Linked DNA regions of Lepisosteus oculatus. The protein of the gene in region 1 purifies or fractionates together with the protein of each later gene. This does not show direct contact. Links are inferred from orthologs where the notes say so. Each region holds a gene or a part of one and is shown on either strand. Other genes may lie near its edges. The genes, in order: sec13, mios, sec23a and sec16a.

Evidence for each region.
Region 2: the proteins of sec13 (region 1) and mios purify together in Homo sapiens (affinity purification with mass spectrometry; 5 studies listed by BioGRID and IntAct, counting the BioPlex papers as one, with this or other methods). This does not show direct contact. The link is inferred for Lepisosteus oculatus from reciprocal best matches to the Homo sapiens genes SEC13 and MIOS.
Region 3: the proteins of sec13 (region 1) and sec23a fractionate together in Homo sapiens (co-fractionation; 3 studies listed by BioGRID and IntAct, with this or other methods). This does not show direct contact. The link is inferred for Lepisosteus oculatus from reciprocal best matches to the Homo sapiens genes SEC13 and SEC23A.
Region 4: the proteins of sec13 (region 1) and sec16a purify together in Homo sapiens (co-immunoprecipitation; 4 studies listed by BioGRID and IntAct, counting the BioPlex papers as one, with this or other methods). This does not show direct contact. The link is inferred for Lepisosteus oculatus from reciprocal best matches to the Homo sapiens genes SEC13 and SEC16A.

The regions. Positions count from the first base shown.
Region 1 is NC_090699.1:58,913,200-58,920,855, forward strand, and holds the start of sec13 (protein SEC13 homolog), read left to right. Parts: upstream 1-4,638; 5' UTR 4,639-4,835; coding exon 4,836-4,838; intron 4,839-5,384; coding exon 5,385-5,429; intron 5,430-5,725; coding exon 5,726-5,841; intron 5,842-6,213; coding exon 6,214-6,365; intron 6,366-7,087; coding exon 7,088-7,221; intron 7,222-7,656. Other genes in the region: cand2 (cullin-associated NEDD8-dissociated protein 2), read right to left, coding at 911-1,167, 1,774-1,897, 2,254-2,408, 2,777-2,920, 3,990-4,057. UniProt on the Homo sapiens protein: Functions as a component of the nuclear pore complex (NPC) and the COPII coat. At the endoplasmic reticulum, SEC13 is involved in the biogenesis of COPII-coated vesicles.
Region 2 is NC_090705.1:3,822,345-3,829,538, forward strand, and holds the start of mios (GATOR2 complex protein MIOS), read right to left. Parts: upstream 3,011-7,194; 5' UTR 2,951-3,010; exon of another isoform or gene 2,933-2,950; intron 2,897-2,932; exon of another isoform or gene 2,874-2,896; intron 2,522-2,873; 5' UTR 2,458-2,521; coding exon 1,161-2,457; intron 728-1,160; coding exon 629-727; intron 1-628. UniProt on the Homo sapiens protein: As a component of the GATOR2 complex, functions as an activator of the amino acid-sensing branch of the mTORC1 signaling pathway. The GATOR2 complex indirectly activates mTORC1 through the inhibition of the GATOR1 subcomplex.
Region 3 is NC_090703.1:4,827,763-4,835,015, reverse strand, and holds the start of sec23a (protein transport protein Sec23A), read left to right. Parts: upstream 1-4,238; 5' UTR 4,239-4,353; intron 4,354-5,997; 5' UTR 5,998-6,019; coding exon 6,020-6,240; intron 6,241-6,747; coding exon 6,748-6,805; intron 6,806-6,897; coding exon 6,898-6,984; intron 6,985-7,253. Other genes in the region: signal recognition particle subunit SRP54, read left to right, coding at 532-632, 981-1,067, 1,345-1,418, 1,613-1,721, 2,119-2,289, 2,518-2,613, 2,980-3,071.
Region 4 is NC_090719.1:5,263,938-5,271,123, forward strand, and holds the start of sec16a (protein transport protein Sec16A), read left to right. Parts: upstream 1-4,171; 5' UTR 4,172-4,324; intron 4,325-7,186. UniProt on the Homo sapiens protein: Acts as a molecular scaffold that plays a key role in the organization of the endoplasmic reticulum exit sites (ERES), also known as transitional endoplasmic reticulum (tER).

The DNA.
Region 1 (7,656 bases):
AACATGGACAGTTATCCTTGTATATGATACATTGATTGGCAATGTTATCCTCACTTCAACTCCCCAGTACTTTCAAACACAAACTACAGCAGCAAATAACGGTGACACAGGACTAAAATGGCATTTAATTCCAACACATGTCAAGCACTATAACAGTTCCTAAATCAAAAATGTTTTGATATAGTACGGTACAGTATTGTATAGACTTCAGTAGGTAAGTGAAGCCCATTATATATTTCCACTGAAGAATCATGAACAAGGACAAGAAAGTAGTTATAGCAATTGGCAACCCAGTTTGTATTTTATCACACTAAGAAAGTATGTAATAAGGCATATAAAATGCACATGAGGAAATTGCTTACAGAAAATAGCAAGGCCAATAATTATGTGATCTAAAAGTGGCTGAATTAAAGAATAATGGGGAGTTGTTGTCTAGCTTTGGCAACATGTCCCATCACTGAATGTTAAATTTTATCATTTAGTTTTGATTGTGTAAACACAAAGTAGCCTTAAGAAGCAATAAGGAATTAAGAACTGCCATTAAACTTTAGATTCTTTACTACTGAAACCAGCTATGTACTCCAATTCAGATATTTCTGTACCAGGTGATATCTCAATACAATGTTTCCTCATTTGTTTAGTTTGTTTTATTAGCAAGGAGAAAATGAAAACATTCGTAATTATACAACTTATTATTATTATTTTAAGAATCTTTGTTTCTGTCCCTTTTTTTACCACTGACTAGTAGGAACTATTATATGTACACATTGTATACATATATTTGTATATAGAGCTTATCAGATTTCATTAAAACATTTCAGATCCAGATCTGTTAAAAGACAAGTGGTTTAACAAAAAATAAAAACCTGAATTGGAAGAACTTATTTACTCTTAAGAGACGCTGTCTTACCCACTCTGTGGCCGGCCTGCCTGCTGATGGCAGCCACACACTGGATGTAGGTACGTGTGGTGGAGGTGGAGGCGTTTCGGGTGAGCTCGGCCAGCAGGTGATCCATGAGCTGGGTGAAGACAGGACTGCTGCAGCTGGGGACCAGGTGGCTGAGAGCAATGATGCCCCGCTTCCTCACTGCCAGGCGGGGGCTGGTGAGCTGGGGCAGCAGGCTGCTCAGAATGGAAGGGTGGAAGATCATGAGGGTCCCACTCAGCCTGTGGGCAGAAAGGATATAAGAGATGAATATGGGGTCAGGAATTGACAATGTCCCCCGAGACGTCCAGGGTCCAGTGTTGTGCATACTGCTTATATTAGCACAATACTGTTCATCAAGATAAATAAGAGCAGATGATGAGTTTCAAGGTTCAGGCTGGAATTATAGGTAGAGCATCTGAGTGTGTTGAAATACACACCATTACTTGTATACTGGCAATGGCCTCAAAGGTCTCTGTATTAGACTGAGAAGAATGTAATTTACATCTTTATCAAGGAAAATAACCACCTACAGTATTCAGATCATTATTTAAAGCAATAATGAAAAAGTCAGCTAAGGAAATGCCTTGCTTCAAAGCCTTTGTGTGACCTTTCTTCTCTAATAGAACAGAACTAGCAAAGCTGGTAAGTGCTATAAAACTGTTTTAAAAATTATTTTTTTAGTCAGTGCTTTAAAATAATCATTCCAGAGACATGGATAAGAGTGGAGATGCCAGATAAAACTAACAAATAGTGGAAGACAATATAATAAAGTTTCATTTAAGTAAGATACAACTACAGTGAAGATTTACAAATCACTTCTGTGACACAGAGTGAACGTCTCCTACCTGCTCAGCATGTCTGAGAGGATATCCAGTGCCTCCAGCTGTATGGACACATCCTCTGTTTTCCCAATGGTTGATGTCAGCTGTGTTGTTATTTTCTTACACACATTTGCTGTCAGAGCAGACCCTGAAAAATGTAGTATTATTTTTACAGATTCCATCACTGTACGTTTTTGGAGTAAAATGTTAACTGTTTGGTTTTAGATTTTTAAATTTTAAGATTAATTTACTTGATAACGAGCAGTGGATTTTCAAAATTACAATTTCAAATTGTTCACTTGGAAGTTCATCATTATCCATGGCATCTTGGGTATGCAAACATCTCTATGAAATCTCCAACCCCAGTCCTAATACCTGCAGTAACACTCACCCTAACACAGTTAGTTTTTGGTGAAATCCATGACATCAGGATGAACAGCAGATGGCTGAAAGAATCAATACCTTCATTATAGCTGATCGTAATAAGATCATGAAATCTCTTACCACTGGAGGATGGAGGAAGCTCAGCAATGACTGTTTTCAGGCCCATACTTGAAGTGTCTCGTAGTTGCTCTTTATCTGAAAGCATGTTGGAACACAGCGTGTCCACAATGGTCTCCACCTGGTATTCTTTCACCTTACTCACCAGTGGGCCCAAGCTTAAACACACAAAACAAAGAACAGAAAAATCAACAGTAACAGCTGTCTGTTCATTGCAAACATTTTTTTTCTGTGTGATACACTGGTTTAATTTATCCTGAATGTGATATATGCCCTTGACGTTTTTAGAATTTGCTCCAGTTTAATATTTAGTCCAACTATTGTTTCTTAGGAAAATTAACACAACTCTTTTCAATGACCGCTTTCTCTCTTGTTAGATTTGCACCTTGACTGTTTACATGAGTTTCAGAAAGTCAGCTCTGGAGCAAAAACCTCTTTGAAAATCACACTGAATGTCGGTTGTTTATAATTCCCTGTCAGCGGTATGGGATTTAAAGGATTGTGGATACTTATTAAGCTCACTCACCATTTGACTGCAAGGTTCTGAACCTCTCCATTCTTATCTTCCAGCAGCCTCAGGAGCATCGCAACCACCTTCTTCTCACTGTCTTCATCTAGCTTGATGGAGTCTTTCTGGAGCTCCATCATCAAGTCATTGGTGGCCATGAATCTGAAAGCAGATACCCACCACTGTCATAATCAGCACCACTACTATTCCAACAGGCCCCTGACACTTTCTTCTGAGATGTCCAGACCTCCGAGGGGCGAAATCCAAAAAGCAGAAAGGGAGGGTTTGAGTGAGGTGATGGGTGTTACACTGTTCACAGGGGTAACAGCAGTGATGTCCACACGCAGCTCTGCATAACCTAAATCACGTCATCATTGTCTCAACAGAAAATATATCAATCTCACCCATCTCTTCAGATGATGAAGCTTTCAAAAGACCTGCAAAACCTGCAGACACCCTCGCCTTCTATGACCAGGATTATAGAAACATTGGGGAGTCCTTTTATCTAAAGCAGTCATAGAAATCTCATAGTTCTCACTTCTCCAATGATCTACTGTGTAAGTGACTTCTTCTGCATAATGACTAATACAAGTCACCCAGCTGGCTGCTTTACACCAGTGGTGGGTTAAGTGGGTTCCCTTCTTCATGTAATACACTTTGGGATCCTTTATATTTAAAAGTAGTAGAAAAATTCAATGAATCATTATTATTGATGTTGTAAATGGTTTATATGTCTGCTAATACTCTGTTTATAAACCGTTGGCAAGGGTTCTGAACTGTCTTCAGTAATGAATATAAATAATGAATACACAAGAAGAAGAAATATATTTCAAGAAAACAAAATGCATGAAGGATTTTATCCTTTGTATGAAACAACTGTCATCTAAATTAGATGTGGAATTAGAGACCACATAATACCAGTCACTCTGACATTAAAATATGTTTTACAACTATCCATTTCCATAAACCAATGTTGTATGTTTATTTTTCAAGTTAATTAATTTTACTGCAGGCAAAAAGTTTAGTACCACATAATATTCATATCAAATTTCCTGACGTTTAAAAAATATTATGGCTAATAATCCCACACACTTAAATCCATCTTAAAATGTGAGGATGGACTGAAGCAAAATGTAAGACGCTCAGCTGACAGACATTTCCAATGTCATTTCACCTTTAATTTAGCTATGCTCTAGGTTGCATTAAAACATGCAAACTAATACAGTCTTACCTAAAATCTTTATCAGTAGATGTCATTTTCTCCAGTAGGTTGGAGATATGATAAGTCACACTGGCCATCTTTTGAGTTTACCTTTGAAACTTGTATTCACTCTACAATCTTTTAAGTAAGTATAGCAGAAATTTCTTTTAGTTTACATGGAGAACATGGCGAGGGAGAGACAAGAGTGACGCTTCAGGGTAAGAACAAACTGGAAAACCTGATACTCGGCACGCAGCGATATAAATAGCTTACAAATTGACTCGCTACTAGCACCGCCAAGTGGTATTAACGCCTATTGCAAGAAAGTCATACTTTTTAGAACTCACAGTACGGTCCTGTCTTCCAGGTAGTGTTTTAGTTTTACGTCACCTTTTAATTAAAAAAGAAAATTTACTATGGTTATTTACGATTATTTGTCTATGTAATAATATAGGTAATATGTATGGCTCTCTTGACATAATGGGTTTGTTTTAGTAATTAAAAACAATTGTTCGCCCCTTTACGTTGGAAGGAAATACTTGGTCATGTTTGTATTTGACGATAAAATGTATTGCAAGAACTGTGATAATGCCACTTGTGTTAAATGTGAAATTACGCCATGTAGACTGCGAACTTTGTAAACAGAGTATCAATGTTTGCTCGGAACTCTGTATCGTCGCTCCTTGTTGTAGCCCGACAGAAGGAGTGGGGATGCTCCCGGAAGTGGAGTTGAGTTAGAGAAGAAGTGGAGTTGCCACGTCTAAGAGAGGAAAACGGCTGGAGCGGGAGACAAAATTGACTAAACGAGATATTATAAATCCAATTTATTAATTGTTTTTAATAAGAGCGGTCATTTTAACAGTAGTCAGCACAAATATGGTGAGTAAATCTATTTTTAATCCTTGGTAGAAGTCTCATGATGGCGATTGCATTTAAAGTTTTTGATCGGTTTGCAGAATGTATCTCATTCATTGAAAAAAATGCTTGATTTTACACTTACGGTTATAGCTTCAATAACAGTTGAAGCAATATCTAGATTTCTGAAGCACGTTTAAAGACGAGGATGAATGTCATAAATCGTTGATTTACGAAACGACAATCGCCACGTCTAAACGTAGATGTTGGACTTTGAGATAACAGGCGCCTAAGGTTTGGAAAAACTGCCGACCTGTGATTGTAGAGACATTCCTGTATTGATTTATGTTTTCAGTAATTAGTAAACAAAATATTGAAAACAATACATAGCAGTATTGCGTGCAGTCGCTTTATAAATTTGCACGGCGTCTTTAGAGTCATATTGTTGTTTTTGCCTAGTTGCTAGCTTTGTTCATTAGGAACCACAGTTTAATATACTAAAAAAAAGGTTTGGTTTCATAAGTAACCTCTACATTGTAATATTAATAGTTATGCAATTTTCCCTCTTAGGTTTCAGTTATAAATACTGTGGACACGTCCCATGAGGACATGATCGTGAGTATTACTGCTTTTCGTAATTATGTGAAATGCTAAATAACCACTGTTGTGTGTTTAGTTGAGCGGTTTGAGATCGCTGAAGAATGCAGTTTCGTTATACTTCGTTAAAAAGTCCTCTATTAGTTATTGTCTGTTGTTAGTTGTTAAAAGTTTCTACTGTACTATACTTTTTTGTCAAGCAGCCAGGAATTGAAGGTGTCCAGCTGTTTTATGTTTCAGAATTTCAGCACTTGGACACTACCTGACCCTGTCTGCCCTTATCTTCTTTGCCATGTATTTTTTTCTCTTGCCAGCATGATGCTCAGATGGACTACTATGGTACCCAGTTGGCTACTTGCTCGTCCGATAGGTCTGTAAAAATATTTGATGTGAAAAACGGAGGTCAGATCCTGGTTGCCGATTTGAGAGGGTAAGTTCTGGGATGGTTTTCTCACCGTTACTAGTTCAGTGGTATTTTTCAGACAAGTATTTTGCTTCTTGGGAGATTTATTCCCAGAGGAGTCAGGTAGTGTCTGTTCTTAATCATCTGTTTTATCCTTTACATGAGGCAACCACGCACAATCCTTAAAGAGGCTGTGCTCCTGGGTGTAATTAGGTGGCGCTCACTCCTATGCCATGTGCCTCACTTGTGTTTTGATTGTGTAAATGGTTATTTTGTAGCTGTAAACTTCTATCCTTTCATGGAAACATTTGAGAACCTCTTTTGTTAGTTTTTTTTTACATTTCTGCTGATTATGAAAATATAATAATACTGAAGCATTTTGTCCTTACTTTCCTACAGTCACGAAGGGCCAGTCTGGCAAGTGGCCTGGGCTCATCCAATGTACGGGAACATTTTAGCGTCCTGTTCCTATGACAAGAAGGTGATCATATGGAAAGAGGAGAACGGCACATGGGACAAGATGTATGAGTACACAGGCCATGAATCTTCAGGTAGACAGACTAACTGACAGGCTATTGCTGCATTTCACCTTTTTGCGGACCATTTTAGTTTTTTTTCTATTTGCTGTCCAGCACTTGGGGTATTTTTCTTAAGTTAATGATAACTTCATATCACCTTTTTGTAAGGCAATATAACCATTGCCACAAATAGGCCAGACGATTACACCAATATCTTTTCCCTGTTTTAGCTTTTGAACGTTACCTTTGATTTCAGTCTTTACTTGTGAATGACAGAGACAAGATAACAGGTTGAAGTATAAGGCAATTCTCGTTCTGCATGCACAGTGGCAGAAAAGTGGAATTTACATCAAGCACGAACTTGAAATGTTTGTACATTTGTCTACAGAAGAAGAAAAACATGATTTTACATTGTACACATGCTAAATTTCTACCAGTACCTTAACAGGATAATCGCCACTTGTATTAGCAAAATGAACCAAAAAAGAGACCTTTGAAGTAATATTGAATAAGCTAACTTTAATTAAAATGGGTTAGTCTTGACAATGGATCTTTAGTGCCCTAAATACTGTTATTGATCTTTGGTAATGTCTTAAATGTCGAGTAATTAAAAGACTTGAAGGTTCTATTATGAAAATAAGATAAGGGAGATGTAATAAAAGCATGTGTGTATAAAGTGGTTGCATCTCAGTAAGTACTTGTGGTGCATGGTTGCCTTCTAAAAGCTGCCCTGTGTCTCTGTCTCGTACTTGAAGTAAACTCGGTGTGCTGGGGGCCCTATGACTTCGGACTGATTCTTGCCTGTGGCAGCTCAGATGGTGCAATATCGCTGCTCACTTACTCCGGGGATGGGCAATGGGACGTCAAGAAGATCAGTAACGCACACACTGTAAGGGGCCTTTAATTTGACTTTTAAGTCATTTTTTTCTCAATCTTAAGTGTCACTTGGTTAAAGGTTGTGAGTCCATAAGATCATCAAAGAATGTTTAGCTCTTTCCTTAAAGAACAACAATGAAAACAATAAAAGAAAGCTCAGCTTATAAAATTTTGTTTGTGTAAAACTGCATTTAATAGTAATTGCAGTAGCTTGATCAACAGCATATATATATATGAAATTATATATAAAATAATTCAAACGGTGTAAATGCCAGAATAAACTTGCAAAATAAACAATATTTGGCACTTATTTTCTCTCTCTAAGATTGTAAGAATTATAGTACATTATCAACTCAGTGGCCCATACCAAACATAGTGGATTAAAAAGCTGCATATGGACATTTTTATAGAATGGAGTATGGTTTTGTAATGTTAATTGTTCTTGTTT
Region 2 (7,194 bases), on another chromosome or scaffold:
TTTCTTTCGGATACCACAATCTGTCAGTTAGCACTGGTCAACAATTTGATAGAAAGCAGTGTGATGGGACTGAAGCTCAAATGTCTGCCAATAGTTTCAAAGAAGTGTTAAAGAAGAGTACGGGCAGCTATGACACCCCAAAGCCTCCCGAGAGCAAGACTAGGCCTATTTCCTGTGCACGGAGCATAATGGGGAAAGAGATTACAAAAAATTATAAAATTAATTAAAAAAGAAAAAATTCATGTGGACAGCACTATCTCACACGCAATACATAAAATGCACCTTTTTAATTGTAGCTCCTCAACACTTACACTGATCATATTGTACTTGCTGCCCATAGAATCTGGTCCTAACGCTTATCTACAGGCAGCTAAGCTACTTCACTGCACAGGTTCATACTGCTTTCGTTTTTTTCTGTTTCTGCACTGTGGTAACATCTTTAAAACACTGCTGGACCTTTTAATGAAACGCCAATGACTTAAATTGGGCTTTTGGGCACTTCTAAGAAACCGTATGTTCTATTGCAATCACTATTAGAGAAAAAGATCGAAAGGAAGAGGAGACCAACTCAATCATAAGACACTGCCAATTCGGTGTGAAGTGAAAAAGTGTGTTAAAAATGTCTTACCTGAGCTTGACTTCACTATGTTTTTTATGCCTGAATAGACAAGAGGCAATCTGTTCCCCAAGTTCTTTTGTTCCAGGTCTTCAGTGTACTGTTTCATAAGTGGTTTATGCATAGGAAATTAACACTGAAATAAAAAGTGCTCTGAACCTTTAAATACAATTAAATAGAACCTAGAAATACAATTCAAAAAGAAAAGTAACACATTATACATATATATATATAACTTTTTATGCTTTGTTTTACAGTCTCTGTAATTTGGATTTAAGAGGATATATTACAGAAAAACCACACATCGGAGACTATGATGGTTCTGGCAGGGGGGAGTTGGTATATTACTGAGCTCCAGCCAATCAATCAGTCTCTCGACAGTGATCTGGGGAATGTTGGCTGTTTCATTAAAAACCGCAACACAGAGAGGAAGGGACAAGCAAGCGATGCTCAAGTGCAGAGCGATGCTCACAGCAATGTGGACTCAGATGCAGACAGAATCACCGGGCGTGTCACAGATCACCCTTTTTACTATAAAGGATATAATACAGAGTGTACCAGAGAGATTTCAGTTGAGGATCATCCCCACCGGCTAAAAGGTGGTTCCTCCAGATCTGCTCAGTGTCATGGCCATATCTGGACTGCGCTCGCTGCCTCATTTTAGTGGCAATGTCCATTTCGAGGGAGCCGGCCTCTGCCTCCTCCGTGCAGTCGTACAGGTGCCTGCCACACGCCCACATGAGGGAGGTGCTGGAGCTCCAGGCCAGGGAGATGCGCTCGAACACCGTGAAATCCGTCATGCAGCGGTTGGGCGACACCACCACCATGCGGTTCTGGCTGGATGGGTGCCACGCAAAGGAGCCGATGACGTTCTCGCACGGCTGCACGCTCCTCTCGATGATGGTGGGCTCCGTCTCATCGCCGAGGGGGGTCGGGGTGTGCTGCATGTCGTACAGACGGATGACGTTGCTGTCTCTGGTCAGGGTGGCCAGAAGTCCGGTGCGGGTGGGACACCAAGCCACTTTGGTCAGAGGTTTCGGCTGCTCGGTTAAGGTCAACACCGGCTTTTCGAATTTCCGGAGATCCCAAATGGCCACCTGGCCTTCGAAAAAGGAAGCGACTCGGTCATGGAAATGGGGGTCAACAGTGACCCCCTGGATGGCCTTAGTGTTGACAAACATCTTCTGGCTCGTGTTTCGCAAGTCGAAAATGGCCAGGTTGCGGTGCATGCCGGCCAGAAGCAGCTTCTGGTCCCGGGGGAGCCAGCAGAGGGACAGGCAAGCGTCATTTTGACCCAGCTCGTAGAGGGGCTTTGTCACCACGAGGCCTGCGTCGGTGTCGCCAGCCGAGAGACGCAGTTTCTCGGTGGGGACAGAGGCTTCGGGGGCAAATTTGCTGCTGATGTCCCAGATCAATACAGAGAAGTCGGCCCGGTGCTTGTCAAGTCCGGCGGCCAGCCAGTTGCTGTCCACAGGGTTCCAAGCCAAAGTGTTGCACTGCCTGGCGTGCTTCGGGACGAACTCTTTGCCCATTAATTCCTTGCACTTGGTGTTGTGGCTCTGCCCAAGACTGGTCAGCACCACGCGTCCGTTCGCTTGCCCCACCGCAAGCAGGCATTCGGGCTCAGGCCTGGGGTACCAGGCTACACATTTCATGTACGGGGTGTCCGAATTGATTGCCAGCAGCGTCGCTGCTGTCTCTCCCGAGAGCTGGAGAACTCCGGCTTTGGTCTCCGCGCTCCCCAGCGACGCGATGCGATACAAGCTGAGCTCCGAGTCACAGATGACATAGCGATCAACGTGATGGGGAGACCACAGGATATCGGGCTTCGAGGCACTCATCTTCCTGGGCGAGTAACAATCACCGCTGCTCCAGTGAGCTCAAGATCCAGGCATCACTGGATCACTTGGGGGAAACAAATACAACAACTAAAATTAGGAAAAGTAACGTGTTTTCCCAACTTTTATTATTATTTTATGACTGGATTAAGGGAACGTGACCAAAGGACGGCAGCTACTATGTACCGCGCTTGCAGAGAATCGTGCACGAAATATTAACTCTTAAGAAATCCGGACAACCCGAAGCAGGGAGGAAATACCTGAATCAAACCATGTTATAACCGCAGTTTCTATCTAGAATCATAACCTCTCACGTGAACACAAAATGATCTGCAAACTTCTGAAACACGCTACTGGCAGCTCAAGCTAATAAACAATTAAAGCAAATCCTTTCTCCATTAACAAAACTATATGCGCACCATAACGATAAGCCACCGCGACAAAATGCGAAACGCACAAAGTAACAGTTGCAACTCACGATGTTTTTGTTTCTTACATTAAAGTAGCATCGGGCACCAAAACAGTCCTACACCAAAATGATTCCCCGGGAAACAAGTTACGTGGCAGGCAGTTCTTGCGCAGGACTCGAGTTAAATTATACAGCGCCGCTTACCGCATCGCGCTTGAATGTACGCCCAATATGTGAATCTAAGAAAAAGAAGTACCAAATAGCGTATAATGTTAATAATATATGTAGTTTAGCATTCTTCTACACATGATGTGTCTTATAAGGAATACTGTACAAGTCGGTGAATTTTAATAATAAAAATAATAAGGAACAAGTAATAGGTTTATTCCATGTTGAAAAGAGAAGAGAGAATAATAATAATAATTATTATGATTATATTGTGCTATAACTTATAGTGTTTTTCCTGGATACTCCATTCAAAGTGCTTTACAGGTAATGGGGATCCCCTCCACCACCACCAGTGTGCAGCCCCACCTGGATGATGCACCAGTCCTCTCCCCACACACCAGCTCTCAGTGGAGAGGAGAGCAGAGTGATGAAGCCAGTTCAGAGATGGGGATTACTAGGAGGGCATGACTGGTAAAGGCCAGGGGCAAATTCGGCCGGGACACGGGGGGACACCTCCACTCTTTCCAAGACACACGCTGTGTTTTTAATGACCACGGAGAGTCAGGACCTCAGTTTTACGTCTCACCCGAAGGACGGCGCCTTTTTACAGTATAGTGTCCCCGTCACTCAGGCCACAACTAGGACTCAAGAAGACCGCGGGGATGAGCGCCGCCTGCTGGACTCTCTAATACCTCTTCTAGCAGCAATCTGAGTTTTTCCCTGGAGGTCTCCCATCCCGGTGAGCTGTGGTAGCTCAGGCAGCAAGGGTGTCTAGTTCTTGACTGGAAGGTCTCGGGTTCAACCCCAGGTAGGGGTAAGTGATTTTGCTTGCTCTAATTCCTTCCAGACGGCTCCCAGGTCCACTCAGCCTGCTTTCCAAATGAGTACCAGGGGGTTAATCCTTCTGGGGGTAACAGGCCAGCTGGAGTGTGATGCTGCCACCTCCAGTGTCAGATGTTTGAGAAAAATGGTAGCCCTTGCCCCCCATGGGCCTTTATGGCCCGAAAAGGCACCTACCTACCTCCCATCCTGCATCACACCTGCTGAGCTTCAGTGGGTTGCCAGATGTGAGTTGCAGGGTGATATGGCTGCTGGCCATATCAAAGTCTGAAGATATGGAAACAGTTTTTTTCTCTTTAGTCTATTTTAAAATCATATTCCAGAGTTTAGGTTTGTGTCACATCCTTCCTTTAGCCCGTTTTTGGCGTAATGATAATAGATATAGGAAACTTGCTTCATTGAAAAATACACACACGTGATTTCCACTTGAAAGCACAACTGTAGTAAACCCTCCCGTTAAACTGTTCCGGTAGTAAGAGATTTTTGAATGATCTGTATCATTAGACTCTGTAATTTGTGCAAAAGCAGCATGTACTGTGTACACTTGAATAATCACGTGTCACAAATTCCTGGGAGCTGGCAATAGCTAGTGTGTACTTGTAGGAGTGGGTGTCTCATCACCAAGTGTTAAAGGCTTGTTTTATTAGATTCGAATTACTCCCCCAGCAAAAATGTTCTCCCGTCACAGTTTTTAAGAGAATTATGACAATCCTCCTCTTCATGGGTGATTTCAGTTAACGATATGCAAGAGACAAGAATCTAGGCGCATGTTTACAATGGGATACTTGTTTTTGACGTGTAGAAAGATATGCAGACGCAGTGCCTTGTCTAGTTTTAAAATAAGCATGTTTCTGTTGCTTGGAGCTTAGAGCTCGGAGCAGCGAAGGAACAAGGGAAAGTAAACTCCACGCTGAAATAGAAAAAAAACACAACGCTGAACACAAGTCATGTTTTCATCAGAAATAGACATCACAACTTCTTTTTTCAGAGCAATTTTAACCTCTAATGTTCCCTTTCTATTGTTTATGTCATTCAGGGGTCTTTTCTTGAGGGATGCATTTTTGTTACTTACAGAATATTCTTCAACATTAATAATGACCTTTAACGCACATCCAGATAAACATGTTTAAGTAATGTATATTAGAAATCAACATAAAAACATCATTATAAAAATCCTGGGGTTTTTTCAGATCTGGAAAGATAATTCTCAAAGGGCTTCTGGAAATGTTTCAAATTATATCTATTTTTTCTTTAACTTCAGCTTTTCTGGTGGGAGGGTTCATGATGTATGAGCATAACAGATATCAAAGCACAAAAGGGCTTCCTAGTACGAAATTCTAGTTTTAGTCATTTGTTCTTGTGGGAAGTTAAAGTTTTTCAATTTGTCAGATCTGTCTTGGAGTAGGAGGTGGAAAATAGCAAAAGCCAAGTGTCTGTGGTAGCAATTAAGTGTTTCCGAGAGTTCTCTGATTTTGGAATAGCTCGATCCTGGCAAGGCACATAAAGATACTTAAGTTGCTGGCATAAACCCTACAAAAGATTAAAATCAAAGAGACGATCCAGGCCAATGTATCTCATTAGGTTGCTAGTAGCTAATTCATTTGAGAACTTAATTGTGTTGCTTTTGAAAAAAAGCCACTGTATCACCTTCACCTGCCTGCCTGGGGTAGCTTGTTCCATACACCCACAACCCTTTGTGTAGAGAAGTGCCTCCCGTGTCTCTGAAGATCCTGTGTGTTCAACATGTCCTCTTGCTATTCCCCGTCTGCTCTATCACACATTCCGTGGTCCCACGGGAAAAATATTCTGGACCTTTGTTCCCAAATACTTATCCCACATGACTATAAATATTTATTTTTGTTAAATTTAGGTGACATTTAAAATATTTGGTCAGAAGTGCATAGACATTATTTTCTAAAAGGGAGTGTGAATTCTGAAAGTTGCACGGCTGCACATCACCTTCTAGAGAGGATTCTGAAGTAAACTCTACTTTTGTGGTGTCCACAGGAAACTCAGTACTTTTCCTCCCAAAAGAAGAGAGTCTCGTCATAGTTAGGAGATGCTGTCTAGTTACGATTCTGAATTTGTCATTTTGCACTCTTTCAAGAGCCGGGGAGTGAAGGCTCAAAACTAAAAGTGTTGAGAATATTATAAAATTCATTCATCACCCTTTGGCAAAGCACCTGGTGAGGATATTTTTTTGGAAAGAATTTTATTTAAAAAAAACGCAGGTCATTAGCTAAAGTAGGGTACATTCATAAAATCTTCAGAAAGTAAAGCAAATGTAAATGTTGGGAAAAAAATCAGCTTTTATACCAGCACTCTGTCTAGTATCTGTTCACAAAACGAATATTTTGGATTGTCTTTTTGAAAATAAAACACAGATCTTGTATCTCATTTCATACTGAATGGTGAGGGAATTTTGCTTCTAGCAGTGCAGCTGTTACATGGTGGCAAGCCTTGACAAAGTAGTGTTTGTTAATGCATCTGCATCTGTACCTTGACAACTTTAGAATAATTGTTCCAATATTGTAACAGGTAATGCTTGTTACATCAAGCGGTTTAGGAATGGCAGTATGAAAGAGCTTACCATTCATTCTGATTATTTCTATTTTAATACTGCTTCTATTGTTATTACTACTGTATCAATGAATTGTGGCAAGTGACACTTGTTTCTTTCTTCCGAAGTTTTGTGAGCATAAATAAATTAAACATGTTATCCAGTCAGGTATTTAACGCATATAAAACACATTCTGGTGATTCCGCATTCAGGTAATACCACAGGGGAAACTTGAAGTTATGGATTATTTTTCATCATTAATGATGAGCTTTAACGCACAGCCAGATTACAACCCATTTGCTTTAGAATGAAAAAAGAATAAATGAAAACACTATGAGATGAACTTGTCAGGAAGCAAAACAAAGCACAGTATAAAAAGGAGACACCTGCCATAAATAAACCTGCGTAAACCACTATGGTCAAATTGGCAAAATTGAACCTTTACACTTTGCTGAACTTTCGATAAGAAAAGTTTAGTAGAAAGCTGAGAAATATGAGCACAAAATATCCTTTTTAACATTTATTTATGTAATATTGATGGCTTATGTAGTCTTAGCCGTGTTCATATTCCTGAGTGTGTATTAATATTTAATTAACATTTTATGTTGGCATCATTTGGTCTTTTTATTACATCTGGTGTGGAAAGTTGTGCTTCACACATTGCTGTTATCTACATTTGAGAGAGGAGCACTGGAGATTGACAGGGCATTTGGTGGTTACTCCAGATCTCATCGACTGAATGCTGGCCAGAATGTCTCCAAGG
Region 3 (7,253 bases), on another chromosome or scaffold:
TGCAGTCTAGTCATAAATGTGAAAGGCAACATATCAGCTTTGGATGACCTGCTTAGGATCTGTTAATATTTGTTTTAAGACTCTGCTTCAAGTAGTGAGAAGTTTGTGTAGAACTGTGTGAATTGCATCTGTAACCAGTCTTTATAGTAACAAGATGAAACTCTTGTTGTGTGATGTTTCTCCTTTCGTATCCAGAAGGATTTACAATCTCGGCAAAGGCAACAGGCTTGTCTGCTGGCATTGTGGGTGTGGTGGTTGTCGAAGCTCAGCAGGCTGGTTCCTTGGGATACCGAATGCAATAGTTTTGACTACAAACTCCGCTATTGCTGTGACTTTTAAATGTCATCTGTGTCTTTTGCTGTTTGCAATGGCAATCAAAATTGCTGTTATTTTTTTCATTCTTCACATGTAATAACACATTTTCTTTAAACACAGAGTTTAGCTTATTTTTTTGTGGCTTCCTCTGAATCCTAAGAGAGGTCCAAAAAAGAGTCATGGAAAAGTCACAAATTCACCATCCCCCTTTTTCAGAGTTGCTGCTACCAAAAGTCCCATAATCTTTATCGGCACTGGAGAGCACATTGATGACTTTGAGCCATTCAAAACACAACCTTTCATCAGCAAGCTTCTGGGTACGTATTGCCCTTTTTCCCCATCTACTCACCTGAGCTCATGGAGACAGCACTAAGAGGCAGTATGAATTATTTTTCTGGGAATACAATGAAAAAAGTGAAGTAACTGGTTAGGAATTAGATGTCAATAGGTGAGGTTTTTTTAACCCAGTTAAAGGTTCAGAAATCTGATGAAAACGAGGAGGAATTGTTTCCCTTTCAGACCATGGTGAGGTGAAAGGGTGTCTGCAGGAGAATCGATAGGTGATTTTTGTACATGGAGTATGATTTGTTTTGGCTTGTTTACAGTGTTGTGAGACTGAAGCCTTGTGATATTAACTGTATTAATGTCTACTCTGTTGTTTGCAGGAATGGGAGACATTGAAGGTTTAATAGATAAGGTCAATGAGCTAAAACTGGATGACAATGAAGAGCTCATAGACAAGCTTAAACATGGTAAGACTTCTGTCATTCTGTAGGAGTCAGCATTCACCACAAGCTTCAGTAAGGGTCACGATAAAGAAATAAAGCCTCACCTTCCCCTTCCAAGAGACCTTGACACCTGTATTTTCACCAAAATCTAATTTTATACAAAAAAGTACATGATATTTTCTTAAGGTGGTGTTCATATATGAAAAGGTTTGCTTCATTTCATAAGCGGATATTTTCCAGACACAAATGAATAGTCATTATGTGCAGCATTTAATCATGTTCTTTTGTTTCGTTTCCTTAGGGCAGTTCACTCTGAGAGACATGTATGAGCAGTTTCAGAATATCATGAAAATGGGGCCTTTCAGCCAGATCATGGTAAGAGCTGTCTTGAAGTGTGAAATGTCTGTGGAAATTCAGGGTGCACTGTGTGAGACTGCTTTCTGAACAGCTGTGTTCTGTTTTTGGAGTTTCGGAAACATGTCTTAAATTAATAAGAGTTCGGCCCTTTATGAGTAAGAGATTATTAAGTTTCTTTAGTTTCTAAATGAGGTCTGAACTGCTATTTGCAGGGCATGATTCCAGGCTTTGGAACAGATTTCATGAGTAAGGGCAATGAGCAAGAGTCAATGGCCAGGCTGAAGAAACTCATGACCATCATGGACAGCATGAACGATCAAGGTAAGTATCGTACGTGGTTCCAAGGTATCAAAGTGAATTTGATACTTATGAGCCATAAAAAAAAAGTATTTTAAATGTTTTTTTAATTGCTTTGAATTTGCAGTATGTTTTATGATCCCAGCTGAGATCTGCGATCTGAGTATTTTAGTAGAATCCATGGGATTTCTGTAACTTTTGGCTACAGCAGCTAAGTGTTAGTCACTTCTAAAGAGATATCGCAGCAGCCTAATCGTCCCGATCAAGTTTCCTTCATGTTAGTGTCCTTGATGGTTTTGAGTGGTTTAGCCACTGGCCTTCTTGAACACTGGGCATAAGTGCAGATCGCACAGCTCTGGGGAATCCCTGTACGCCCGCAGTCTCAGAGCATGCTCACCCCGGGCCGTCTGCTCCTCGGCAGAGCTGGACAGTAAGGACGGCGCGAAGCTGTTCAGCAAGCAGCCCACCAGGATCCAGCGGGTGGCGCGGGGAGCGGGCGTGGCCGCGCGGGACGTGCAGGAGCTGCTGACGCAGTACACCAAGTTCGCCCAGATGGTGAAGAAGATGGGCGGCATCAAGGGGCTCTTCAAAGGTACGGGCACAGACTAGCGATCGAGTGCGCGGGCGAGACCCCCTGGCACTGTCGGACGGCTGTGTGATGCGCCGTGTGCCTGCTCGCACTATATTACTAATTCAGTTCATCTGTTTAAAAACGGCTTTAAGTAGGTCTCAGCATCTTCTTTTATCAGTCAGTTGATGCCTGTCGAGTCTTATTGCAGTAAGATGCAGCGTGTGCTGATGTACATTCCTCTCTTCATAGGTGGAGACATGTCCAAGAATGTCAATCCTTCCCAGATGGCGAAATTAAATCAGCAGATGGCCAAGATGATGGACCCCAGGGTTCTTCACCACATGGGTATGCCTCTGTCATTGTCTTCTCGCGTGCCTGACGGTCACCTCGTGCTCCTGAAGCACCGCAGCGTCCGCAGGGACACTCCTGCGCACAGAGCTTTGACTCCAGTTGGTACAGATGAGATGAACAGATTGCATTAGGGAGCTTTTGCACGTACCTGTGTGGGGTGAGACGTGAAGTCTAACTGAACATTTACCTCTTCCCTGTAAGACAGCACAGCAATTCAAATGATGAACCGGGTTTGTCCTTGTTCGTGTTCTTATAAGGGTTGAGTGACTGAATTGTGAAATCTGCAGTTTTCCGGCTGCTGTTTAGAAATGTTACGTTTGTGTAGTGGAAAGAGCTACATTTTAAATTATTTTCCTTCAGGTGGGATGGCTGGCCTTCAGTCCATGATGAGGCAGTTTCAGCAAGGGGCGGCTGGGAACATGAAAGGAATGATGGGATTCAACAATATGTGATACTGAAGCCTTAATCTCATGCGTTTAATGTCGTCTTTATTCACACGCTGAATAAGTCGTTTTTTTTTTTTTTTTTAGAATTCACTTCCCAATTTTTGTGAATTGGTTAATAATAAATGCACAGATTTATTTGTCTAATAAGAAAACGGCAGTCTTAATCTGGATCCATGGGATTCACGATTGGGATACAGGTTTTTGCAGATTGTTACATCTGATAAACTTTACGTTTGGCTGATTTGCAAGAAGTAGAGTGTTACTAGTGGAAAATGCATCAAATGAGACTAGTTTGTGACAATATTTTGTCATGAAATGTGTTGTATAATAAAATTTGTATGGTATGCATTCTCAGTTCGGTGTACTTATTTGGGGGGGTAGAATATTTTTTTAAATGTTGACTTACTGTACACATTCAGTTCTGGAGGTAAGCAGAGCAGAAGATTGGCTCGCTTTGGTCTGCGAGTGGGGGGTTGTGAAGTTCTGCTCCGTTCTTCTTCGTTAAAGAGAAAAATTGAGTTCTTCTGTAAAAATATTTTTGAATGAAATCTCTTGGAGACTGACGAGACCTCTTTGGAGAATGGTCATTGAGGGAAAAAAACTGGTTTGGAGGAAATGGTTTTAGGTCATAAAAACACTTAATGCATCATTCTCCCTTGAAAGTGGGATGTTTTAAGTAATGTAACAAAACACCTTTTTATGCTTCGAAGGGAGGATTATGTACAGTAGGTGCTGATAATTGGACGTGAATTTTCTGCTGTCACGCGTTTCAGGGTTTGGTAAAGGTCTAGAGCAAACCTTCATTTCTGCCGAGGGAGCAGGTACAGTCGATAGTGATGGTGCAAGGAAGGAGTTTGATGTGAAATCCAATGTTAATTTACAAATATTTACATTGTTATTCACTAATCTATTTCCAAAAAAAAACCATTGTGAGTTGAGAATTGAACCTGAGGTGGAAGTAGTTATAATGCCCAGGGGCCATCACGTTACATGATGGTGAGGAGTCTGTACTGTGTTCATGTAGTACTGACGCTCGAATAAAGCCTTCTTGAAGAGATGTCCTTAAAATTAGTCGCGAAGGAGATTCACAGCCCTCCAGGACGCGGCGGGGGGCGGGTCTTGAGGAAGGGAGCCACACGCAGACCGGCTTGTTGCAAAAGCCTGTGCGGCTCCCCCTTGACGTGGCAGCGGCGAGGGCGGCCATGTTGTCGGGTACGTCAGCGGGCTGTGCTGTCAGATGCAGCACTGGCCCCGGGAGGAGCTGGAGTGGCGACGTGCGGCTCGGCAGGTAAGTCAAATATTTACAGAAAAGACCGTGTCAAAGCGGAGAGGCGTACGGGGGAGCTGCTATCAGAGGCAGTGTGCCCCGGGGAAAGAAAATGACCAACGCCGCCGGCGCGGATGGTGGTGCTGTGGGCTGCACGTCTTCGCTGGCGCCGGGGCGCTGGAACATCTCAAGCCCAGAAAAGGCTGCTGGGCAGCCGGCTGCCCGCAGCTCGTCCAGGCGGTCGTGCGAGGGGGGTGTGGTAGTTCGGAGAAATCGTTGTTGTTCTTCTCTTTGATGAGTGAGTGTGCACTAATTTTCGTCGCTGGCAAAGCGTTGCAACTGAAGCGACTTGCCTGGAGTCCCGAGAGCGATATCCCCCCCCCCCCGAGCAGCGATGTTAAAAATGTTTTCTTTGCTATTTTCACAGCCACGCATGGGGTATTTTTATTTCTCTCCGAGTGGAAGGTAGTGGTGGTGCGGTGTCTGTAATGTTTGGGGTGAAGGGGTTTGTGTGCAGGAAATGGGGTTTCTGAGCGTGATATTAATGTATTTTTATTGCACGCGTGTTTGCAAATCAGTGCGGTGTTGGCAGTCTGTTCAGAGTTCAGGCAGAGCTGGCGAAGTTGCCCAATATGAGACATTCACGGTGCCAGTCCGGTTAATCTCTGGCCTGGAGCCCATACGAGAGACATTGTGTGTGTGTGTTTTACTAGCCAGGCCGATCTGCTTGCCAGCTTTTTGCAGAACCGTGGTTGTTTATTTTCAGATGATCAATAATCGTGGCACAGCCGAAAAACTGAACCGGTCGGTTGATTTCGTTGTAAAGACTTCCCCAGTATCGTGGTTCGTATTCTTAATTTTGTTTTGCGGTGAAAGTTGTGAATATTTGCTTTTGGGGGGAAACGGGCTTTATTTCAACTGTATATTTTAAATTCTTTTAACGGAAGCCTGCTTGATCAATCAAGATCAGTCTTGAAATCCTATTCTCTCAAGTACGAATCACTGAGACGTTTCTGTCTGGTTTTGTAGCTCAACCGAATTAAGGCCGTTTTTCCGAAGTAAACAGGACTGGATTTGACTTTTGTGTCGGTGCTAATAAAAGTGTATTACATGACCACCACATCAAAACTTTTAACCTTAAGGTGGATTATTATAGTTGTTGTTTCCTAAATCTTCCACTTGATGGCGCTCGCGAAAGCTCAGTTTCTGTGTGCTCAAAGGAAAAGGCTGTAGGAGAGGTTGTGTACAATTTTCTCATAAGATCCAGGCGATCGTTTTCAAGTGTTAAAAATGCGAAGATAAACTTGTATATCTGGGAAACGACCTATAGCATGGAAGCTGTATAGCTCTGGGCCAAAAACAAAATAAACCCAGTTATATTTATGACACAGTTGCCCAAAAGTTATCCAACACCCAGCCTGGCAAAATCAGTGTTTCACCAGCTGTTCCAAGTGTGTGGTCCGCCTGAATTAAGACCTGGATATCATAAGAACCGGAAAGTTGCAGGACTGCAGTATGTTTATATGAGGACTTGATATTTAGGCTGGGACAAAGTCCCGGGGTCTGTCCGTTGTGTATGTGTCCCTCTTGACCAGTTCTCTTCTCTGAGAGCTTTACTCTGGTTCTGTGAGACCCCCTGCGCCTCTCTCCCCTCTCTCCCTACAGACCCTAGTGCGAACAGGCCGCCATGGCGACGTTCCAGGAGTTCATCCAGCAGAACGAGGACCGGGATGGGGTCCGCTTCAGCTGGAACGTGTGGCCCTCCAGCCGCCTGGAGGCGACCAGGATGGTGGTCCCCGTGGCCACCCTTCTGACCCCCCTCAAGGAGCGCCCGGACCTGCCACCCATTCAATACGAGCCCGTCTTGTGCAGCCGGGCGACGTGCCGGGCGGTTCTGAACCCGCTGTGGTAGGGCCCCGCTCCTGCTCTCCTGCGCTGTGCCCTTGACTCTCGCTGTTGGTCTGCGCGGCGCGAACCTGTGGCTTGGCTCTCGGGGGGGGGGGTGTTTTACTGGGGCGTGCTAACAGGTGGGCTGCTGTCAAGTTTCAATGGGAAAACGGTATGAGCCGCCGGAGAATTAAAAAGAAAAAATGGGATTGAAAAGGCCTCGGCGATATTTTTTACCAACCAAAGGAAAGAACCCGAGTGTGTTATTAAGGTCCTGCACTCCTGTATTAATGAGAGAGCCGATCTGGGCGTGTGAGACTGAAGGAATTCAGTGACAACGTGTAGCAAAGCTCAGACCGCGTCTCTGCGGTCACTAAACAGCTCGGCCCTTCATTTATTGTCTTTTTGTTGCACTGGCGGACCGGCTACTGGGTAGAGTGTGGTGTGATGAATCAGATTATTTTTAGTCGTTGTATTTCCCTGCGTTACTGCGCTGTGTGTCATCTTTATTTCTGTTTCCGTTACCAGTCAAGTGGATTACAGAGCAAAGCTGTGGGCCTGTAATTTCTGCTACCAGAGGAACCAGGTGAAAACAATACAGACATGATAAAATTGGAAGATCTTTAATTTTCTCTCGCGGCTGGAGTTTTAAGTGCTTGTCTTGTTCTGCTTTTCCAGTTTCCTCCAACCTATGCAGGGATTTCAGAAATGAACCAACCAGCGGAGCTTCTGCACCAGTTTTCTACGATTGAATATGTCGTACAGGTAGGGTGCTGCTGTTTTCCGGGGAAGAGGAGAAGAGTTATTTGCATGAGCCAGTGAATTGTTTTCCATATTGCAAATTACATGTCGGGAACCTAATTTATTGGTCTGTCTTTGTCTTCAGAAATCTCTTTTCCTTGCACACATATACATCATGTCTCTATTTCCTCACCTCAGTAGTGAGCAAGGCTGCACTTTTTTTGTCCGCTCATAGTCAATTTCACCTTTGAGTTTGTCTTTTTTTACCATGTTTAAATTGGCCAGCATGTTGA
Region 4 (7,186 bases), on another chromosome or scaffold:
ATCTCAGCTGATCTCATTGATTCCTCCATCAAACATTTCCTTAACCTGCTCATGGGGGCTTTCTTCAGGGCACGCATGGCTGCAATCTGAGCATCCGACTTCCTTTAGTTGTGAAGATAATGTCATGTTGGGACGCAGGCATCAAGGGAGAGACCACTTTCCCTTGTTGCAAGCGTGAGAGACAGCGAGAAGAAAACATAGAAGAATTCAGTACAGTACACGGCATTATGGGTTGTAAATAACCAATCTTTGCAGCAACAAATCCTATTAGATCAGCAGAAGTGCTGACCAGGAATGAAAATTCACCACTCTATTACCTCTATTAATTATATAAAACTATCATTTATTATTATGACTAAGCTTTCAAGGAGACTTTTAAACTGTCATGATGGAATGGTGTAATGTTTAAGAATGAGCTACAGCTGCACAGAAATGGGATTATTCACCATTTGCAGCAGAGATGCCCAGTTTTAGATCCTGTTCAGTGGGGTTTACAGGTCTCATCAGCACCTGAAGAGCTAGGAGAACCTCTTTCATCCATCCATTTTCTACACTCTTCTACAAATTCAGGGTCATGGGGGAGCCAAAGCTTATCCTAGCAGGCAACAGGCATGAGGCAGGATAAGATAAGATCACTTTATTGGCCTTATGCAATTTATTGCATTAGGAATTTGTGTTTTCACATACTCCGACTTGCTCTCCATGAGTTACACAGACAGGAAGAGAAGCTTGGGGAAAGAGCACAGGGTCAGCCATTTATACGGCACCCCTGGAGCAGTTGGGGTTAAGGGCCTTGCTCAGAATTCCTCTGCCAGCCACAGGATGCAAACTGATAGCCTTCCAACCAGAAGGCACAGATCCTTAGCCACAGAGCCACGGCACCACCCCTGGGACACTACCTTCAGCAGGGCAAACAGAAAACAAAAACAGACACACACACTTACACCTTGAGCCAATTTTCTCAGAAGCCTATTAACCTACTAGCATGGTTTTGGGCTGTGGGATGAAACCAGAGCACCTGGTAATTCACGGTCATGCCTTTCAGACTGTGTAATGCCCCGGTTACGTTTTAGCAGTTGATGGAGCGAGTGCTGGCATCAGTCCACTAGAGCGAATGCTTTGTGTATCTAGACAACCTACTCGTGCATGCCCAGGGTTTCGAGCAGGCTCTGGCGAACCTCTGGTTAGTGTTGGCTTGCATCCGGCGGGCCGGGTTGAAGCTCAACCCTGGGAAAGGTTACTTTCCTGGGTCATATGGTTGGCCCGCGAGGGGTGTCACAGACCTGGGGAAGATCGCTGCAGTGCGTGACTGACACCATAGCAGAGCTCTGCAGTTTCCTGGGGTTGACGTCTTATTACCCGAAGTTTGTCCGGGACTTTGCCAGCCTCACCCCCCCACTGCACCGCCTTACGGAGAAGGGGTGCCGTTTTGTGTGGGACATGGAGTGTGAGGGGGCCTTCTGGGGGCTGCAGAAGGTGCTAGTGGGGGCCCCTGTCCTGGCCTTCCCAGATCCGACGCTACCATATGTGCTAGATACTGACATGATGCAGGGGTGGGCGCAGTACTAGCGCAAGAGGGTCTAGATGGGGAACGGGTCGTTGCATATTTTAGCCTGGCGCTCAGCAAAGCAGAGAGAAACTATTGTGTCACCTGGAGGGAGTTGCTGGCTGTGGTCTCGGCAGTCTGCCACTTCAAGCCCTACCTGTTTGGAACTAGTTTCAAACTGTGGATGGACCATGCGTCCCTCAACTGGCTGCTAAATTTCAAGGAGCTGGAGGACTGCCGCTACTGCGCCCAGTGGGAGCAGCGTGAGGAGGCCACCCGTGGTTGGGGGGAAGCGGCCATTCGGTATGGACCTTGTGAACCTGGCACAGCAGCAGCGGGAGTACCCCGACATTGGGCCAGTGCCCCATTGGAAGGCAGCTCAGTTGGGAGGAGCTCACCTCTCACACCAAGTCCATGAAGGCTCTCTGTGCTCTGTGGGAGGCCTTAGAGGTAAGGGACGGGGTGGATACCCTCCAGCGGCAAGGTCAGGTGGCAGCTTGTAGTGCCACGATCGCTCTGCGGGGCAGTTCTCCAGGCGGTGCACGGTAAGCCGGGTGTGGGGCACTTCGGCTCCGCGAAAACCCTGCGGTGACTCCAGGGCCACTTCTATTAGGGTCTCTGCCACTGGGATGTGGGGCGTTTCTGCCAGACGTGTGCGGTCTGCGAGGCCCAGAAGGGCCCTCCTGAGCGCCCCTCCAATGGCACCAGGTGGGGGAGCCCATGGAACAAGTGGGGGTGGACATATTGGGCCCATTTCCGGGGACCGAGGTGGGCAACAGCTCCGTCCTGGTGGCAGTGGATTATTTTAGTGGCCCAAGGCTTACCGCCTCCCGAATCAGAGCATGTCCACCATGGCCGATGCCCTGTTGGAGGGAATGTTCACTAGGCTGGGGGTGCTGGAGGAGCTCCATAGTGACCAGGGGTGGAATGTCGAGTCTTAGGTGTTCGTGGGGGTGTGCCAGCGCCTGGGGATTAAAAAAACGTGGACCACCTCGCTGTATCCCCAGAGCGACGGGCTGGTGGAGCATCTTAACCGGATGCTCTCCACTCAACTGGCCACCTTCGTCTTGTGGCACCAGCGGGACTGGGACCGCCACTTACCTCTCACCCTCTGGGCGTACCGGACCGCTGTGCAGGAGTCCACTGGGTGTGCAGGAGTCCACTGGGTGCACTCCAGCCTCGTTCATGCTGGGAAGGCGGGGGTGCAGCAGAAGCGGTATTACAATCTGCGCTGCAGAGGGACTCCTTTCAGACCGAGGGACCTCGTCTGGGTCTATAACCCACGGGGCCGCAAGGGGCTCGGCCCAAAGCTGGCGCCGGCCTGGGAGGGACCCTGGGAGGTCGTGGGGGAGCTCTGCTACCGTGTCCGGCTCACGGCTTGGGAAGCGAGGGAGGGTGGTGGTTCTGCACCGAGACCGCCTGGCTCCCTCCAGGGCTTGCGAGGGCTCACTTGAACGGGAGGGCGCAGAGGAGTCTGGGGAGCAACCAGGTCCAGATTTCACCGTCCGCGGGGCCTGGAAGATTTTGTGTTTAACATAGCCAGGTTTGTTGCGTTGCGGCCGAACAGCACTCGGCTAAGGTGCGCAGCGAAGGGCAGGATGGGTGTATTAACCAGGGCGAGTACTAAGGGAGCCACTGGCCAGTGTCACTGACCATCTGGAACAGGTGTACACCACTGTAAAGGTTGTCCAGATCCCTGCGATCCCCAATTTTGCATCCCCTTTTATACCTGTACCCACTTACCACCCTATACCTACGTACCTGTACCCCAAATGACCCTAGTGTGTTGTACCCTGCTTTCTCTGGTTTTTACTTCCTCTGTTGTTGTTGCTGTGCCGGACGCACGTCCGACTAATATAGCACCGAGTTCTTAACTAATAGAGCTAATTAAGTTCCTGTTTCCATCCTCGCCAACCCCGTCGCGCTACAGTACTTTAGGAACAGGAAAACACATTTACAATGATCAGACTTAGTTAATTCCCAAGAGGCTCAACAGTCCTTTGAAAACACAGACAGACGGTTCACATTATAGATTTGCAAATTTAGTATACTGTATTTAAAAATTGTGTATTTACTGTATAAATAACACAATATCATTTCCTTGCGCAAACGTAGATAATAAAATGTATTTGTTCATTAGCAGATAAATTACATACTTGCTTTCTCATAACAGATTTCGATGTTCGTCACACTATAAGCATCCATCGCATCGCATGAAATAAGGTCTTGAGCCCGGTATTGCCCTGGACTATATTAACAGGGTTGTGTATACACTATGTCAATTATTTTCTTTAAAAAAACGGACTCGGTCCAATTTAATATCTCGGGTTCAGATGCAAGTTCATCTTTTCTTACAAAAACATTACACGTTGATGTACTCTAGGGGCGCACTGTTCGATATAAATCGTCCATTTCCGGTAGAGCTCGGATCGTGCCTCGTTCTTTTCTATTAAAAATAATTATATTTCTTTTTAAATCATTTAGACGCATATGATTTTATTGTCAACAACCAAAATAAATACAATTATGCAAAATTACAACATTAACTGCAAATTGTACATGGTTCAAGGCCTTCGACTGTGACGCCACGGTGTTTGGGATTGTGACGTTAGAGGTACACGTCGCCTAGCAGGATGTAGCTCTGGTTGAAGATGGCGGCTGTGTGTTTGCCTCACGGTTCTGCAGTCTTGTAGGAATTCCTATTTAATTCCGCTTTACTGGCCGAATTGTGTTGTTTCTTTGTCGTCTCCAGGAGGTCGGCGATCTCGTTCTTGAGAGGTAAGATGGATCGAGATGTACAAGCGGTGTGGTGCAGCACTGAGTTCAGATTTGTATAATGGGACTGGGTCGGGATTACCCTAGTTTTAAAAGGCACAAGATCTGTTATTATTCCCCCCCCCCCCGGCAGAAGTGGGGGCTTTAAGGAACTGACAGCGCATCCTGTTAAAGATCTGGTTTGGCATCAGACCATCGATTATCGGCGAGTTGGACATCTTCACTCTCCCCAGTCTGATGTACAAACGGGCTTCGTGAAAGTTCGGCACTTGCCTGTTGCAGACGTTCAGTTAATCATATGTGATGAGTCGCCGATATCCTCTGCTTGTTGACTTTAAACACGACAGCAGCATGTTAACGATTTGCTACGAGTCGCCGCTTTTAACGGCAGGTTTCGCAGTGGTGTTAATTATAAAATTGCTTGAAAAATTTAAATGTTCCCTATTCGATATTGAAACGTTCCTTCCAAATGTGTCAAATAAATAAAGCTGGAGAAGATAGTCCTTTTCGCTATTTTTTAAGATCGCAAGGTCGGGTTTGATCTTAAAAACATTTGAGTATTAATTTGAGAGCTTCTCACTATTTGCTTATTTTTGTGCGGGTGTCGTCTGATAACATCTTAAATTTTGCGTTTGTTGTAGCTCTAGTGAGGAACAGAGTCCTTATGCTTTGGACTTTAGTTTCTACGACTTAGAAACCCGATAGGCACCCTGACTGCAAGTGCGACTTCAGTAATTAAGTTGTATTACAATATTGTAACACACGAATAATAAGGATTTAGAGTTTGGAAACCAAAAAAACGTATAGGTGTTTGTTGTGGTGTTCGATAGTAAAGAATTGAAAATTGCAAATCGCTAAATTAACCATTGCAAAATAACCTGATTCGTCTACATTGTATTGTATTGACTCATGATGCTTTTGAGAGTTATTTTAGAGCAACAGTGCAACCGACGGGCGCCAATAGATGAGGGTGAGAAAGTTAGTCCTAAAGCAGCTCTTTAAACGCTGTTTGTGAGGACTACATTAGCCACAGAAACGTCGCACACCTGAGGCTGACGTGGAATTCCATCCCGTTATTAGGAAATGCAAGCTGCTTCACAGTGTACGCACAACCCAGTGGAGAAATCTATATGTGTGCAGTGAATCCGAAGACAAATGTCTATAGGACTACGAAGGAGGTCTAGTTACTGGTGGTTGAATTTTTTGCTGTGGAAGCCAAAATGATTCTATATAATATTAATTTTCCTGTGAAGGTTCCATATACTTCTTTCATATACTGAAAGAAGTATAATGAGTCACAAGTGGTGGGAGTATGGATGAACCTACCATCCATGTATCTGAGGCTGATATCCTGGCTTCCTTCAAGAAATGGCTGGATGAGATTTCTGATCAATGAGTTACTAACCAAAAGGGTTAGGTGTACAGAATATACACTTTATCTTGTAAGTCACAAACCACTTTCTCTATGATATTTGGAGTATATTTAAAGACGAGCTGCAGTCCCAGTTTCTCAGGCTTGTTATTAAATCTTGATAAAATAAATTCATTGACGGTATAGACAAATTGAACAAATTTCGAAATAAGCACACAATCGTGAACTTTGTAAAAGTACTGAAATGTCGCTGTGCTGTTGCACACCCCTGGTCTTGCTATAGACGAGAGCATGATTTCTCACGAATTGTGACGTAAAGCAGCCCCTACTGCTCCCTAGTCACTGTAATAACTAATGTAATGTGCAAATTAAGCACAGGTTGTGCAGCCGGCATTTCACCACAGAAACTTTCCAACATAATCTGCAATCAGTTTATCAGCAAAACCATCTTGAAGACGAGAGCAGTATTTCTCTTGGATTAAAAGAGATGTATTCACAAGCCTGCTTGCTCACAGTGTAATAGGGCCCCAACACGTCACCAGACGTTTTGTTGCCTTGTTCCAAATCGCAGAATATGATGCTGCGTCTACCTTTAAATTTTATTTTGTGATGTAAATTGGAGGATCTACAAGTTACTGTACATTTTACTTTTATTGTGGTTTGAAGGGCACTGATTTTGTAACCTCAAAATATAAAAAAAACATTGCATTTCCCCTTTTAAATATGTTTTTAAACTGTGCAGTTTAATGTTGAGGTGTTCCTGTTAATCACACAGAATATCCCAGCCTCCTAAATATGCAGTACTTGAAGATCACATACTGTAATTCATGCAGTCACTTTGTTTGCACAGGATCGTGGTCTATTGTTGGTAACCCAGTCTCTATAAAAACTGTCTTAATTAATATTCAGTACATTCCTCAAGAAATTATTAATGATGTCATCATTGCATTTTTGTTGGGTTCAAAGATCCAGCACTCATTTTGCCATGTGATAATGTATCCATTTAAATAAGAATAGAAAGTTCGCTTGCCATTCTTAATGTTTTGCAGCCTCTCTTATTAGTGAAGGGGCAGTCATCTTATAGTTGACAGTTGTAAAACTTGCAACTTGGGAATAAATAACTCAAGGCTTTGTCAACACTGGTGTGACAGATCTTTTGGTGGAATCACTGAATCCCTAACTAAAAAGCTGTAAATCTTAAATAATAATATGGCTTTAGTTTAAAAAATATTGAAGAACTACTGTGGCAAGTGTACAAAATAGATAGATAAGACTTTATTGATCCTGAAGGGAAATTGATGTGTTACAGCAGTCTGGCCCAAGACAAGCAAAAAAACAGACATCGGAATAGAATACAAATTATAATATGTACAGTAATACAGAGTAAATATAAAATAAATACATAGGTGTGTACAAAATATGATCTTAGTCACTGTAAAAACAATAAAATATATGCAAAATGTGCATAGGTATAAACAGATTGAGTGTCCAAA